Linked DNA regions of Elephas maximus indicus. The protein of the gene in region 1 purifies or fractionates together with the protein of each later gene. This does not show direct contact. Links are inferred from orthologs where the notes say so. Each region holds a gene or a part of one and is shown in the gene's direction. Other genes may lie near its edges.

Region 1 (8,202 bases):
ATTAGATGGGTGGAGATTTCCAGGGGAAGGGGAGGGATTATGAAAATTAAATGCATGTGCAGTTAGAATTCAAGATGGACTTCTTTGCAGAGGTTGCTGGAACCAAGATGGAGTCTGTTACAAAGGCTGCTGGGAGGTCGAACAGGACTTATTCTGGGATGTCATGCATGCGTGATGCCTCGGGATCTTGGTTCAAGGCCCGGCGAGGGGTCCCTGTTCATTTTTGTCTCATGTGGAAGGTCATTCATGGTCCATGTTGATCTTTACTACATATGCTCTGCACATGGTGAGGCCTTGAAAAACAACTCAGGAAGATTATCAGTAATTTATAGCTGGTCAAGCACACAGGGCCCTGAAATGTAGTCCCTTATCTTGTCTAAGCACCTAGTTTGTTAACTATAAGTAGTTTTCGGGTGCCAGCAGCAACAGTTATATGGTGGTTTGCACTTAGGTTTAGATTCAGAGACTATTTAATTATAGCTGGTCAAGCACACAGGGCCTTGAAATGTAGCCTTGATTTAATTCAGCCAGCAGCTCCATCTCTTGCCTGTCTCGGCAGCAGTCAAGAAATCAAAGGACATGTTGCATTGGGCAAATCTGCTCCAAAAGATCTCTTTCAGGTGTTAAAAAGCAAAGATGTCACCTTGAGGTGGTACTAAGGTGCGCCTGACCCAAGTCAGGGTATTTTCAGTTGTCTCATATGCTTGGGAAACCTGGACAATGAATAAGGAAGACTGAAGAATTGATGCCTTTGAATTATGGTGTTGGAGAAGAATATTGAATATACCATGAACTGCCAGAAGAATGAACAAATCTGTCTTGGAAGAACTACAACTAGAACGCTCTTTAGAAGCGAGGATGGTAAAACTTTGTCTCACGTACTTTGGACATGTTATCAGGAGGAACCAGTCCCTGGAGAAGGATATCATGCTTGAAACAGGGTCAGTAAAAAAGATGAACACCCTCAATGAAATGCACTGACACATGCCCACAACGATGGGCTCAAACATAGTAATGATTGTGAAGATGGTGCAGGACCAGGCAATGTTTCATTCTGTTGTACGTACGGTTGCTATGAGTCAGAACTGACTCTATGGCATGTAACAACAGCATCTGGGTGAGCAAGTGACTTTATCATGCTAAAAGTCTCATCTTCTTCATCTGCAGAGTGGGGGTAATGCTGATGATGGTTAACACTTATGTGTGATTAAATCTTCTCTACTGGACAATTAAAGAGCCCTGGTCAGAATCGACTTGATGGCAATGGGCTTGGTTTGGTTTTGGTGGCACTGTGGTTAAGAGCTCAGCTGCTAACGAAAAGGTTGGCAGTTCAAATCCACCAGCTGCTCCTCGAAATCCTATGTGGCAGTTGTACTCTGCTCCATAGGGTCACTATGAGTCAGAATTGACTCTATAGCAACAGGTTTTTTTTGTTTTGTTTTGTGGCACAACAGTTGGGTGCTTGGCTGCTAACCCAAAGGTCGATGGTTCAAACCTACACAGCGACTCCACAGGAGAAAGACCTGGCTATGAAAACCCTATGGGGCAACTGAGTCCAGCACAACTAGATGGTGCCTGGCCACCACCACTGACTGCTCTGACAAGGATCAAAATAGAGGGTCCTGGACAGAGCTGGAGAAAAATGTAGAACAGAATTCTAAATTTACAAACAAACAAACAAATCAGACTTACTAGTCTGACAGAGACTGGAGAACTCAGACAGTATGGCCCCTGGACTCCTTTTTACCTCAGTAGTGATGGCACTTCTGAGATTCATCCTCCAGCCAAAGATTAGACAGGTCCATAAAACAAAACGAGACTAAATAGGCACACTCGCCCAAAATAATATGTGTATTAATTGTTTAATGAGAAACCAATTTGCTCTGTAAACCCTCATCTAAAATACATTAAAAAAAGAAAGAAAAAAACTCCTATGGGGCAGATCTACCCTGTCACATGGGGCCACTGTGAGTTGGAATCAACTCTCCGGCACATAACTACAACAACAACAATTCAACAATTAAAATAATTTAAAAATAAAATCAATTTTGACGATTAGAAATTATCTTAAAATTTATTGTTATATGTAGGAAACCCTGGTGGCGTAGTGGTTAAGAGCTATGGCTGCTAACCAAAGGGTTGGCAGTTTGAATCCACCAGGCGCTCCTTGGAAACTCTATCGGGGTCAGTTCTACTGATAAGGTCGCTATGAGTCTGAAACGACTCAGTGGCACTGGGTTTGGTTTTGGTTTGGTATATTTACAACAACAGCAACAAAAAAAATTATTATTTTTTTAAATACCAAAGCCAAACCAAACCCAGTGCTGTGGAGTCGATTCTTACTCATAGCAGCCCTATAGGACTGAGTAGAACTGCCCCATAGGGTTTCCAAGGAGTGGCTGGTGGATTTAAACTGCTGACTTTTTGGTTGGCAGCTGAGCTCTTAACCACAGCACCACCAGGGCCCCCTTTATTTATTTATTTTGTTGTGCTTTAGGTGAAAATTTACAGCTCAAGTTAATTTCTCATTCAAAAATTTATACATTTTTTTTTTTGTGACATTGGTTGCAATCCCCACAATGTGACAGCATGTGCTTCCTTTCCTCCCCAGGTTCCCTGTGTCCATTCATCCAGTTCCTGTCCCTTCCTGCCTTCTCGTCCTGCTTTTGAACAGGAGCTGCCCATTTGGTCTCCTATACTTAATTGAATTAAGAAACCCAGTTCCTCATGTGTGTTATTCTTGTGTATGTGTAATCTTTGTCTGAAAAGTGGGCTTCAGGAATGGTTTCAGCTCTGGGTTAACAGAGCTTCCGGGGGCCATAGTTTCAGGGGTTCCTCCAGTCTCCGTCAGACCAGTAAGTTTGGTCTTTTTATGTGAATTTGAATACTGTTTTACATTTTTCTCCTGCTTTGTTTGGTACTCCTTGTTGTGATCCCTGTCAGGGTGGACGTTGGGGGTAGCTGGGCACCATCTAGTTCTTCAGGTCTTAGGTTGGTTGAGTCTCTGGTTTACACGGTCCTTTAGTCCTTAAGGATAATATTTTCCTGTGTCCTTGGTTTTCTTCCTTCTCCTTTCCTCTGGGTTAGACAGGACGAAAAGATGTATCATAGATGAGGGCCCTTTTCAAAAAATAAAAAAAAAAAAAAACCAAACCAAACCTGTTGCCTTCAAGTCGATCCCAACAAATAGCAACCCTATATTTTTAAACACAGGTATAATTCAACCCCACACACACATCCATTATAAATGTAAGGAAAAATACAAATTGAAAATAACAGGTTTCAGTTCTTTTAATGGCAGAATCTTCCTTTGACTTTCTGAAAAGTATATAAGTCAAGGATGTTTCCTCAGTGGTCTCAGAGCCATTTGATTTGAAACGTAATCATCAAGAAACCTTAGACCTTAAACCAAAAACATCCCCCGAAGACATCTTAAAACAATAGTTTATCTTAACTAGTATAAAACGTCTGCCTTGAGCATTATGCTCTTTTAAGAGGTATCTATATGGGATCAAGTTGACAACAGCAACTTGAAAAATTAGACAGGAGCCTTAGGGGGCAGTGGGTTTATGTTAATGAGAGAGGGACAACTCAGAAAAGGAGGGTGAGAATGGTTGCACAACTAAAAAGTAATTAATGTCACTAAATTGCACATGTAGAAACTGTTAAATTGGTGTTTTGTTGTGTACATTCACACACACACACACACACAAAATTTCCCATCCCTACCACCCACTTTCCTGGAAGATGAGCATAACTTTAGGTCTCCTGACATAGATACTGGAAAGTTAGCAATTTTGTCTTAAACTTGGTTGTACTGAGTTCTATCCCCTCAGCTATGTAAAAGATAGGAGCTTTGGTGGCCACAGTGGTCAAGAAGTCGGCTGCTAATCAAAAGTTTCGCAGTTGGAATCCACCAGCCACTCCTTGGAAATCCTATGGGGAAGTTCTACTCTGTCCTGTAGGCTCGCTACAGTCGGAATCGACTGGACAGCAACGGATTTTTGTTTTGTTTTATATAAAGGATAAGGTTTCTTTCTGTTCTTGCAATCTCTGTAGTGGATTCCCTGTGATGCATCACATTCTGGTTTAATGCTTATTCAATAATCAAACTTTTCTTTCTGTCGTTTTTGTGGAGAAGTTTTCTGGGTTGAGAGTAGATTCGTTTCAATTCCCTCCCCCCAGCATAATCCTTGATGATATTAAAACATAAATAGGAAGCATATATGGTTAAAAAATGAAAATCATAAAGTACAAAATGAAAAATGAAAATTTTCGAGCTTTTTTGATCTACCAAAGCAACAATTTCATTGGATCCAACCTAGTATGTGCCGGCCACCGTTTTAAAGCTTTATGTGTATTAACTCGCTTAAACTCCTGAACAACCCCATGAGGTAGGTGCAATTATAATCTCTCTTTGACAGTAATTAGTATCACTTCTAATGCGAGGCTGAGGAATCCGGCGGGACAATGTCAGCAACCAAACAGGCCTCCACAAGTGTTTTAAAAGTCGTGAAACACAGAGGTCATTGAATGTAGTTAATTGAGAGCCAAAAAGGAACATCCGCCTGGCGTCTAAAATACACCTTCTGAGGCGCCATACGCAGGGCGTGCTCTGTCAAAAATGCAGTTCCTAGCTGGACTAGGAAGGAACCCAACTCGTGCGCTCAGGAACACGCCCGGACGTGGATTCCCGGGAGAGGCGCGCCAGGCTGCGCCGCCTCAACCAGTCTTGCTAGAGTAGGCGTACACTCACGAACAAAAGCATTCGGAGTGACTGCTGCTACAGCTATTCAACGCCAAGCCCAAGCTCCCGCCTACAGCTAGAGCGGAACTTTCAATTGGTGGAGCTAATCAGAAGCAGGCGGGACGGAACAGAAAATCCCCGCCTCCCTTGGAGTTGTCAGCCAACCCCGGCTTCTGGGAGGCAGCCGCCGGGTTGCGTTGCGCCGTGTGTAGTCGTCTGAGGGGCCTGGAGGCGGGGCGGGAGTCGGTCGGGCGCAGCAGGGAGGGGACGCTTGCCGGGGGCGCGCGGAGCGGGAAGGGTGAGAGGCACGCGCGCGTGTGCGCGCCCAGCTGTAGCGCGTCTCCGCGACCCCCGTGGGCCGCTGTCGTCTTAGCCGCCCTCTTCCCCGGCGTCCCCAGCCCGACTCCCTCCAGTGCCGGGCCGCGTCCGCCCCGTCGGTCCCGGCTCGCGTACCCTCCCCGTGGCCAGCAGGGCCCGCCCCCGACGCCCCTTTTCGCTTCTGGGCAGGGTCCTTGCGGCCCATGCGGGCCGTAGGGGCCCCGCGCCGCCCAACCCGCTCCCGGACCGGCCGGCCGGCCACCATGGTGGCCTTGAGGCCTGTGCGGCTCCTCCAGGGGGGTTAACCGGTCCAGAGCGCAGGCCGCGGGGGCACAGAGGTCCCGGGCCCGAACCCCGCACCATGGCCGGGGCCATCGCTTCCCGCATGAGCTTCAGCTCTCTCAAGAGGAAGCAGCCCAAGACGTTCACCGTGCGGATTGTCACCATGGACGCCGAGATGGAGTTCAATTGCGAGGTAACCGCCGGCAACCTCGACGGGCCGCGGCGAGGGGCAGCCCGACCGAATCCCTGTTTACCCGGCCCTGTCCCGGATCCGGCACTGACCTGGGCGCCCCCGCCGTGGGGTCAGTCGAAGTGGAAGCTTGAGGGATTCTCCTTATATCATCATCTGGGTATAGATAAGAGACGGGTGGAAATGGAAGGGGTCGTCTAGGCCCAAATCCTCATGTTGAAGATAATTGCTACTTTTCTTCATAGGGCTTTTGGGTTTGGAAGCACTTCCTGAAGATTTTCATTCATTGTTACTGGAAGGGGTTGCGGGCGTCCATGGTAGAGAATTCTCGTTTTCAGTGTCAGGCTTAAGTTCTGGCTGGGTGGTGGCGTAGTGGTTAAGAGCTACGTCTGATAAGGAAAAGATCGGCAGTTCGAAATCACCAAGTGTTCCTTGGAAACTCTATGGGGCGGTTCTACTCTGCCCTATAGAGTTGCTATGAGTCTGAATAGACTTGATGGCAATGTTTGTTTGTTTTTTGGGGGTGAGTTTTTAACTTTATTAGGTAATATTGTTATGCACCCCGGGTATTAAAAGCAGCGTCTTGTATATTGAAAGTTTATACTTGTTTCCTGTTTCTGAAGCTTAAATTTTTCTGGAAAAGACTTTAAGAAAAGACATGCTGTCTTATACCTTGATGATAGCTGTCATTTGTTGAATACTTAATAAGTGCCAGACAGTCCTACATTTAATCCTTACAACAGCCCAGTGAGGTAGATACCATTATTATCATTCCCTTTCTCAAAAACTTTATATCTAGTAGATGGCAAAGTGAGGTTTTGAACCAAGCTCTTAACCCATTCAGTACTCCTTCTCAAGTAATTTAAATTCTTGCTACTCAAAAGTGTGGTCCGTGGACCAGCAGTATCAGCAGCAGTGACCTAAGTTAGGGGTTGGCAATCTTTTTCTGTAAAGGGTCAGACAGTAAATATTATTGGCTTTGCAGGCCATGGAGAGTCTTATTGCCACTACTCAGTTCTTCAACCCTACTGTTATAATGCAGAATCAGCCTTACACAGGGTCCCTAATGGCGTGACAGCATGAGGAGTTCTACTTACCTGCTCCTACTGAAACTGGTGAAAATTATAAAAACAACAGTTACCACCATTGAAAACTTCTTGAAATGGTCCTAAGGGGAAACAGGAAATGAGGAAACATCTACTCAAGAAAATCCATGAAAATTGGTAAAAAAAAAAAAAAAGAAAGTCTGTGATATTTAAATCAAGACCTCTCCCTCCCTCAGCCCTTCAGCTCAGGGAGGTGGAAGCTCCAATCCACACTGCTGCAATCAAGAACACAGGGCTCGCTCTCCCCTCAGCTTCCAGCCAGGGGACTTTCTTCCCAGGAAGAGCAGGACTTGCATGTTTATCATCTTGCACCAAGTTACCTGTTACCTGTGGGCTGGGGCAGACAAAAGGTGGGGGCTCTCTTCTTCTCCCCAGCCCTACTCATGGATGGAGGCTCTACCTTGGATATGGTGAACTGAGAACACTGGGGTGCCAACTCTCCTCGTGCCTTGGCTTGCGAAGCTATGGTTCCACACCAGGAGAGACAAACCAAGAAGACCCCAAGCTACTGCCCCCCCTCCCCAAGTGCTCAGCTCCTAGATCAGGGGTGCCACTCAGAGAGAAGCTTGCCTTGTTCCTACCCACACAGCTCCAGAGCTTGGCTCAGAGATTTTGCCAGGAGGAAGAAACAGGCCATGGAACAGATACCTCCTAATATCTTCCCAAAGAAACAGACTTCATTTGCAAAAGCTCTTGGAGAAGTTCATGGCTAAAGGTGCTCTTATGAACAGTTGGAGCTCAGGGCCATGATAAATGGACCCTGATAGCATGGGAGAAAAAATGTGAAATAGAACCTCAAATTCCTAAAAAAAAAGCCAGACCTACTGGACTGGTTGACACCAGAGGACTCCCTAAGACTGTTGCCCTGATATACTCTTCAAACCTTGAACCAAAACTAACCCCTGAGGTCACCTTGTAGCTAGATAACAAATTGGCTCAAAAGATAATATCACCCTTAAGTACTGTGATTTTTTAAAAATCACCTATTTGAGACCAAATGGTAAGCAATTACTTTAAAACAAAGATAAGAATGTAGGAGGGCAGGGAAACTAGATTAGTGGAAACAGGACAACCAGAACAGACATAATGAGAATGTTCATGCATTGTGAAAAATGTAACCAATGTTGCTGAACAACTTGTGTAGAAATTGTTGAATGGGAACCTAAACTGCTGTCCAAACCTTCACGGAAAACACCATACAATATTGTTAAAAAAAAAAAAAAAAAGGGAGGCGAAGCCAAGATAGCAGAGTAGTCAGACGCTTCTGGTGATCCCGCTTACAACAAAGACCCAAAAAAACAAGTAAAACGATTATATATATGACATGCTAGGAGCCCTGAACATCAAAGGCAAAGTTAGGAAATCGGACTGAGCAGCAGGGGGAAGGAGACACAGTTCAGAAGTGGCAAGGAGTTGCTGGTCCTGAGTTGGTGGGATCTGTCAGGCACGATCCCCTGGAGTGACCGCGGCAGGGCTGGAGGTAGCGTTCAGGATGCAGTTTCCTCAGGGAAAGACAGTGAGTCACACAGTCTACTCACACCTCCGGAACCAGAGAAGAA
Region 2 (7,394 bases), on another chromosome or scaffold:
CCTGCTTTCCTGAAAGTTGCACCTAATGGGGAAAATTAACTGTCAAACAAGCAAATATAGTACTTTGACTCCAAGAGATGTCCTAGTAGCTACAAATGTCTAAGTATTATGCATTGTTTTGTAAATAAATAGATGGAAAATATAAATATCTGACCTATACTTCTCCTACTGTATCCAAAGCAGACATTGCTTATTGATTATGTTGCCCTTTCTATTGAGCCCCAACATCCTTTTCAACATTACTAATCAATCTGAGGTCTTGCTTGAAATGAAACACTTAGTATTCCAGCTAAGAGCTATGAATTATCTTGCTGATTCAAAAGGTAGCTGAAGGCTTCTGGGATGGCCAAGTAGAAACTTTTAGATCAAACCTCTTGTAGATACCCAGCCAAAAACCCAGTGCCGTCTAGTTGATTCTGACTTATAGCGACCCTACAGGACAGAGTAGAACTGCCCCATAGAGTTTCCAAAGAGCACCTGGTAGATTCGAACTGCTGACCCTTTGGTTAGCAGCCATAGCACTTAACCACTATGTCACCAGGGTTTCCCCTTTTGTAGGTAACAACTATAAATTCTGGATAAGATACAAAAGCAACTAGCTGAAGGCACCGGAGAGAGAACAAAATCAGACAGAAACTAGGGGAGAGTCAACTCTGCCTAACCTCTGGGTGACTCCTGATCCACGTATGCATGAGGCAGACTCTAAGCAGCCCAGCCAGGGTTAAAAGAACTGACCTGAAGTTTCAGCTGTTGCCATCAAGATAGAATTTTGCAGTCCAGCCACCTTAAAAGCCTGAATAACAAAAATTCAATACTTACCAGAAGAACAAAATACAATCCAAACTTTCTATAACATATCATTGGTAATGACCAGGATATACTTCAAAATTATTTAAAATACAATAAAACAGGAAAGCATGATACATTTTAAAAAAGAAAAGATAATCAATAGAGACCAACTCCAGTGCAGACCTAGATATCAGAATTAAAAAAAAAAAAAAAAAAGATTAGCAGGCAATAATTTTAAAGAAGCTATTATAGCCATGGAGCCCTGGTGGCACAGTGGTTAAGAGCTTGGCTGCTAATGAAAAAGTCAGCAGTTTGAACCCACCGCTCTTTCTTGGAAACCCTATGGTTTCTACTCTGTCCTGTAGGGCCTCCATGAGTCAGAATCAACTTGACAGCAATGGGTTATTATAACTATGCTCAAGTATGTAAGGAATAGGCTCATAATGAATGAAAATATAGAAAACCTTAGCAGAGAAACAGAAACTATAAAAAAGCATCAAATGAAATTTAAGAACTGAAAAATATAGTATCTGAAATTAAAAATCACTAAATGTACTTAATAGCATAAAGGAGATGGAAGAGGAAAGACTCAATGAACCAGAAGTAGATCAACAGAAATGATCCAAACTGAAGAACAGATTTTTTAAAAATTCACAGACTCAGGATCTTTGGGCAATACAAAAAGGTCTAGCATACATGTAATTGGAGTCCCAGAAAGAGAGAGAACTAATGCTTCAGAAAAGTATTTGAATAAATAATGGCTGCTAAGTTCCCAATTGTGTAAGATAAATTTGCATATACCAAAACCTTGACAAACACTAAGGATTAATATAAAAAAACAAAATTAAATAAATAAATAAAAACACCTAGACATATCCTACATAGTCAAACTGCCAAAAATCAAAGACAAAGGCAAAGAAAAAATCTTGGAAGCAGGCAAAGAAAAAAGATACTTTGCAGAGTAGGAACAATGATTTTAAATGCCACTGAAACAATGGAGGCCAGAAACAATGAAGGCCAGAACACAGTGGGTCAACATCTTCAAATGCTTAAAGAAAAAAACCTACCAACCAGAATTTTATATCCAGCAATAACATCCTTGATGAATGAAGATGAAATGAGACACCTTCAGCAGAACTAATTTGTCACGAGTAGACCTGCACTACATGAAAGACTAAAGGACATTCTTCGAAACAAAGGGAAATAAAACTAGATGGCTACTCGGTTATTCAGGAAAGCATAAAACATCTCAGATGGTAAATGGTGTAAATATAAAATACCATTTTCTTCAGCTTAATTTATTTAAACTACGTGATTGTTTAAAGAAAAAACGTGGCATTGTATTGTGGAGTTCAGAGTGTATATAAAGGAAATACCTATTACAGCTACAACATAAAGGAGGAGGTAGAGAGGGTAAATACACCAAACCAGTAGCAAGACTCCTATGTTTTACATGAAGTGGTACAATATTAACTCCCAGGAGTCTGGGAAAAGTAAAGAATATATATTTTAATCCTTAAAGCAACCACTAAAAATATAATGCAAAGATGTGTTGCTAAAAAGCCAATAACCTGATTCCGACTCATAGTGACCCTATAGGGCAGGGTGGAACTGCCCCATAGTATTTCCAAGGAGCACCTGGTGGGTTCAAACTGCTGACCTTTTGGTTAGCAGGTGTAGCACTTAACCACGGCGCCACCAGGGCTCCAAAAAGCGAATAGATAGATTAAAATGGAATTTTAAAATATGAATGCAAAAGAAAGCAAAAGGAGGAGCAGAGGAATAAAAAAAAAAAGGGGGGGAACAAAAAGAAAACAAATAGTAAAATGGCATACCTGGAAGTGGAGTGGGCTGTCTGAGGTCATTCACCCCTTAACTATCTACTGAGTGCCTACTGAACGCCAGCCTCTGTGCTAGGCTTTGACAATACTATGGTGAATGAAACAAAAATGATTCCTGCCTTCATCAGTCCTACCAGTGTCCAAACTCTGTTCCTCTTCTCCTCTTCTACTTCTATCATTATTTACACCCTGGACAGAAGACTAGCAAATTCTTTTTATAAGCCAGTCTGAAATGTCTTAAATTTCCAAGTTCAAAAACCAAACCTTTTCTAATGTTGGGCCTGAATACCTCTATCTGAACAGAAAAGGGTTTCTTCTTCTTTTAGCCTCTCTGGAGTGAAATGTGACACAAGAAAATCTGTCAAACCTCAGAACAGCTCAGCAAGAACCTGGACACATGCCTAGTGACCCAGAGTTACCTTACCCTCTCCTGAAGTAGAGTTGAGGAAGAAAGGGCAGTCAGCTGCCAAGCTGTCCACCCCACTTCTAACAGAGCTCACATCCATTGCCATTCCTTGTCCTGGCATCCCAGCCAGAAGTCCTGCCTGAAGTTTTTGCCCAAGAACCTGGCACCAAATGGGAGGTGCCTAGCACTGAAGTAACCGAGAATCTCTTGTTACAAGTCCAATTGCTCCAGCCTGACCCTCAACATACAAAAAAGCAATCCAGGCTTGGTTGACTAGTACTACAAGCTCATTGGCATCGAGTTGATTGCAACTCATAGCGACCCTATAGGACAGGGCAGAACTGCCCTATAGGGTTTCCAAGGCTGTGATCTTTACAGAAGCAGACTGCCACAGTTTTCTCCCTCAGAGCCGCTGATGGGTTTGAACTGCTGACCTTTCAGTTAGCAGCCGAGTGCTTAACCACTATACGACCTGAGCACCTTAGTACTTCATCAACAAAATGAAAATAACAAAATTTGGTTAGAATGGCTGCCACACTTCTTTTTTTCCATACAGTCGCTTGCCCCTCTGCACTAGCTTTCGCTTCAGCTTTGTATATGTGTACTTACAAATCCACCAGCTCTGAAAACCTCTTAGCAAGGTGATAATTTCCAGCTCCCTTATTGCCCTATCTGGGTTATTGCCCTTCCTCCAGACTGAAATGTCTTTGTTTCTCTCTCCCACCCCCTGCCCTCTGAGAATTTCTACCTCTCAGAAGTTTAAACCTGTTTTCCTTCCCTAGAGTACCGTTTTTTTTCAGACAGCTGAATTCTTAGAGATAATGATAAGACTCAGGGAAATAAGTGCATGGTTTCCTCCTCCCTGGCGCCGGTTAAGGCGATTGGTGCTTCGGGACGTTCTGAAGCTCTTTGAAAACAACAGGCTAGTCAGATTCCAAAGATTTACCTTCTGAAGGCTCAGCATGTCTGGGCAATGGTTGCATAATTTGGATGGAGTCATCACTGGATGGAGCAGAGTTGGCTCAGGCGGGGAGTACTCGTTGCTCTTTTTAAACTCCATGGCACCAGGGATGAAGTCACCTTTCTTCTTTTAAAACCAACTGACTTGCCCCGTGAGTCCCTGTCAATTCTGTTAGAACTTGGTGCTTTCTCCACTGCTGCACACCTAGGACCTCCTCTCAGGTAAGAAAACTCTTCTTTAGTGGGTTTCTATTAAAAAAAAAAAAAAAAAAAAATCCAGGGAAGGGGGATTTGAGGGGAACTTTGGAGGGCATTTGTTTGTAGAGGTGGGGTTAAGGTTGAAGGACACTCGATGAAATGAAAAGAATGGCTGCTTTCCAGGCAGCTGGTCTCCACCTGGTGGGTGGGGCAGCCCTGGGCTGGGTAAGCAGAAACCCCACTCAGCCCTGAGCTGAGACGGTGGACTCTCAGAGTGGTCAAGGACATCTAATCCAGGTTTGGTTTCTCTTAGTTGTTTAATGAACTGAGCACGTTGGTGAAGCAGCTGCAAGTGGTCTTCTTTGGGCTGGGGCCATTTGTACCCTCTTTTGCTTTCCTAATGTTTGGCTTTGTGTTTTGGATAGAATAACCCTCAGAAGGTTCTGATAACAGTTGATGTGCAGAAAAGCAGCGGCTCTCTGAAGAGCCCTCATTTGCTCATTAGCTGGCTTGAATGCTTCCCTTCTTCCTCAAGAGGGTAGGGGAGACAAAGGAGCCCTGGCTTCCTGTCCTGACATGCAAGTACCTTGTGTAAACAATGGCTGTGTGGCTGCAGGTGAGGCAGAAATGTACAAAAACATCTTAGTGCCTGCCCATATGAGTTCTTCTAAGAAAACGGACGTGAAATCTTGTTTTATGTGTGCACAGTCCACTGAAATCTCCCTCTGCTTTCTCTGAGTTATACAAGTCACTGTCACTGACTGAATCGTAGAGTCTTACTTTAGCTTTCAAATGCTCAGTAGAGACATTTTGGTTATGACACAGGCGCCTGCAGGGTGATGAATGGCAATTGGAGAGAGCTGAGCCCCTACGAAGTAGAAACATTTGAGAGTTGCAGATCCCCTTCCTTGATTGACACAGAGCCCTGCCACAAATAGCATTGGCTGCAGTCATCTATAACCTATGAAGGGAGCAAAGGATCTCATTTAGATAAAAGATGCTTTGTTTTCAAAAGGAGGGTGAGAATGGTTATACAACTTGAAGAATGTAATTAATGTCTGAATTCTACATGAAGAAATTACTGAATTGGTATATGTTTAGCTGTACATATTTCCAATAACTATCAGAAATAAAAATTAAAAAAAAAAAAAGATGTTTGGTTTTAAATGCAGTTGCATACTGGCTACCAGTTCTTGGTTACTCATTGACCTCAAACTCAATCATGCTCAAAATCCATACTCACCTGAAATCAGCTCCCCTTCTATGCTCCTAGCTCAGTGAAAAGCACCTGGTTGTCTGTGACAGATTTCTGGACTTCTCCTTTGACCCTTCCCTCTTCCTCACATTCCACATCTGGTTTGGCAAGTATCCAGCAGGTTCCAACTTAATATCTCTCAACTGCACCCAGCTCTCTCCACCTCCTTGGCCATTATCCTTGTTTAAGACCTTATCATCTTCTACCAGGAACACTGAAAGCTTTCATCTAGGCTTCGTCTCTCCAGTCTTACCTTCCTGGCAGCAATCAGAGTGATGGTTCCAAGATGATTGGTCAGCACCTGCACAATCCAATCAATCACTAATCTGTCGATTCTGTCTTCTTACTATGCCTCAACATTTCTGACATCTCTCTGTTCTACCTCTATTACCTTGGCTCAGCCCACAAGCACCCTTTGCCTGAGTTATTGCAGTTGCCTCCTAGCTGGTCTTCCTGCCACCAGGATCGTGCTCATCCTAGTATAAGACATCTTAAGCTTCTTGTCTTCCCAGGCTTCTGAGGGCATTTTTACAAGAACTTGGAACATGGGTTTTTGGAAGCATTTTCATTTTTATGACTCTTGTGGATTCTTCAAGGAAGTGGGGAGAGAAAAGGGGAGGAGTTAGGGGATATGTATTGCAGTGGGAAGAAAGCACGGAGAATGCAAGAAGCTCCCTTGGAGCCACACACGTTTGCATTTGAATCATAGCTGCTCCACTTCCTACTGTGGCTTTGGCCAAGTTTGTGAACCTTCTTGAGACTCATTTCCTCAACTATGAAATGGAAATAATAATACCTACTTTTTTTTTTACTTCACTGAGTAAATATAAGGGTTAATTGAACAATTATGGAAGACTCTGAACCAAGCAATTAAGAAGTTTTGGTTTCTTTTTTTCTTTCTTTCCCTTTTAAAGCTTATAATTTCTAATCACAATGTCTTGAAAGTATTTTTACATATGTGTGTGTATAATGATCTGTATTTAACATGGTGGAAAGAAGGCATGGCAAAGAAATATACGAGAACTCGCTTAAGGAACTCACCATCTACTTAAAGAGATAAATCAAACCTAAACAGCCCAAAAGCATCAATAAAACAAGCAATCTGTGATTGCCATGTATACGTTCCCAACTGAGTACATAAGCAGGAAAGGCCTGAGTAAGCAGGCATGTGAATACCTGCAGAGTGTAAATAATGCTATATCAAGCAAATTTATATTTAGGCTTCTTGGGGATTTAAAAATCCTTGGTCTCTCTGATGTTCCCAGTTTAGAGTGATTCTAGAACGTATAGATGTATGTTTAAAAGTGACCTTATTCATTCAGCAAGCATTTGTTGAGTACCTGCTCTGTGCTGGGTCTTAAAATATACACTTCTTTGTTACTCCTCCCATGGAGAGGTGAACCTGAGCTAACTTTAGGGACTTGCATGCAATGGAATGAGAAGGAAGTGATGTTTTGGGACATCCAAAGCTGGGTTCTAAGAAGTTTTGCAGCTTCCTCGTCGATTTCTTGTTTCACTCACTCTGGGGAAAGTCAACCACCATGTAAACTGGCTCTCTGGGAATAAAAAAGAGAGAGAGTGCTGAAGTATAGTGTTTGCCAATTTCCATAGTGTAAATAATCCCATCTCGGCCAGTTGCAAGCTATACCGAATGCAGAGTTGAGAAGAGGTATGCAATCAGTTCTTAAAAGGGCCACAAGCTGGTCCCAGAGCACCACTGCCAATTTTTCTGAAACTACCATGTTGAGAGACAGCCCAAGCTAGCTATGTGAAGAAAGTCCGTGGAGAAAAACCCAAACAGCCTCCAGTTGTTCCAGCCATTCAAGCTCAATCTCCAAACATGTGAGGAAAGAAGTCTTTAAATGTCTCCAAACCCAGCTAGCCACTATCTGAGTGCAACTTCCTGAGAGACCCCACGTGAGAACTGTTCAGCTGAGCCCAGTAA

The links.
Region 2: the proteins of NF2 (region 1) and AMOTL1 purify together in Homo sapiens (affinity purification with mass spectrometry; 6 studies listed by BioGRID and IntAct, counting the BioPlex papers as one, with this or other methods). This does not show direct contact. The link is inferred for Elephas maximus indicus from reciprocal best matches to the Homo sapiens genes NF2 and AMOTL1.

The regions. Positions count from the first base shown.
Region 1 is NC_064840.1:26,936,662-26,944,863, reverse strand, and holds the start of NF2 (merlin), read left to right. Parts: upstream 1-4,973; 5' UTR 4,974-5,426; coding exon 5,427-5,540; intron 5,541-8,202. UniProt on the Homo sapiens protein: Probable regulator of the Hippo/SWH (Sav/Wts/Hpo) signaling pathway, a signaling pathway that plays a pivotal role in tumor suppression by restricting proliferation and promoting apoptosis.
Region 2 is NC_064825.1:26,223,699-26,231,092, reverse strand, and holds the start of AMOTL1 (angiomotin-like protein 1), read left to right. Parts: upstream 1-4,134; 5' UTR 4,135-4,218; intron 4,219-7,394. UniProt on the Homo sapiens protein: Inhibits the Wnt/beta-catenin signaling pathway, probably by recruiting CTNNB1 to recycling endosomes and hence preventing its translocation to the nucleus.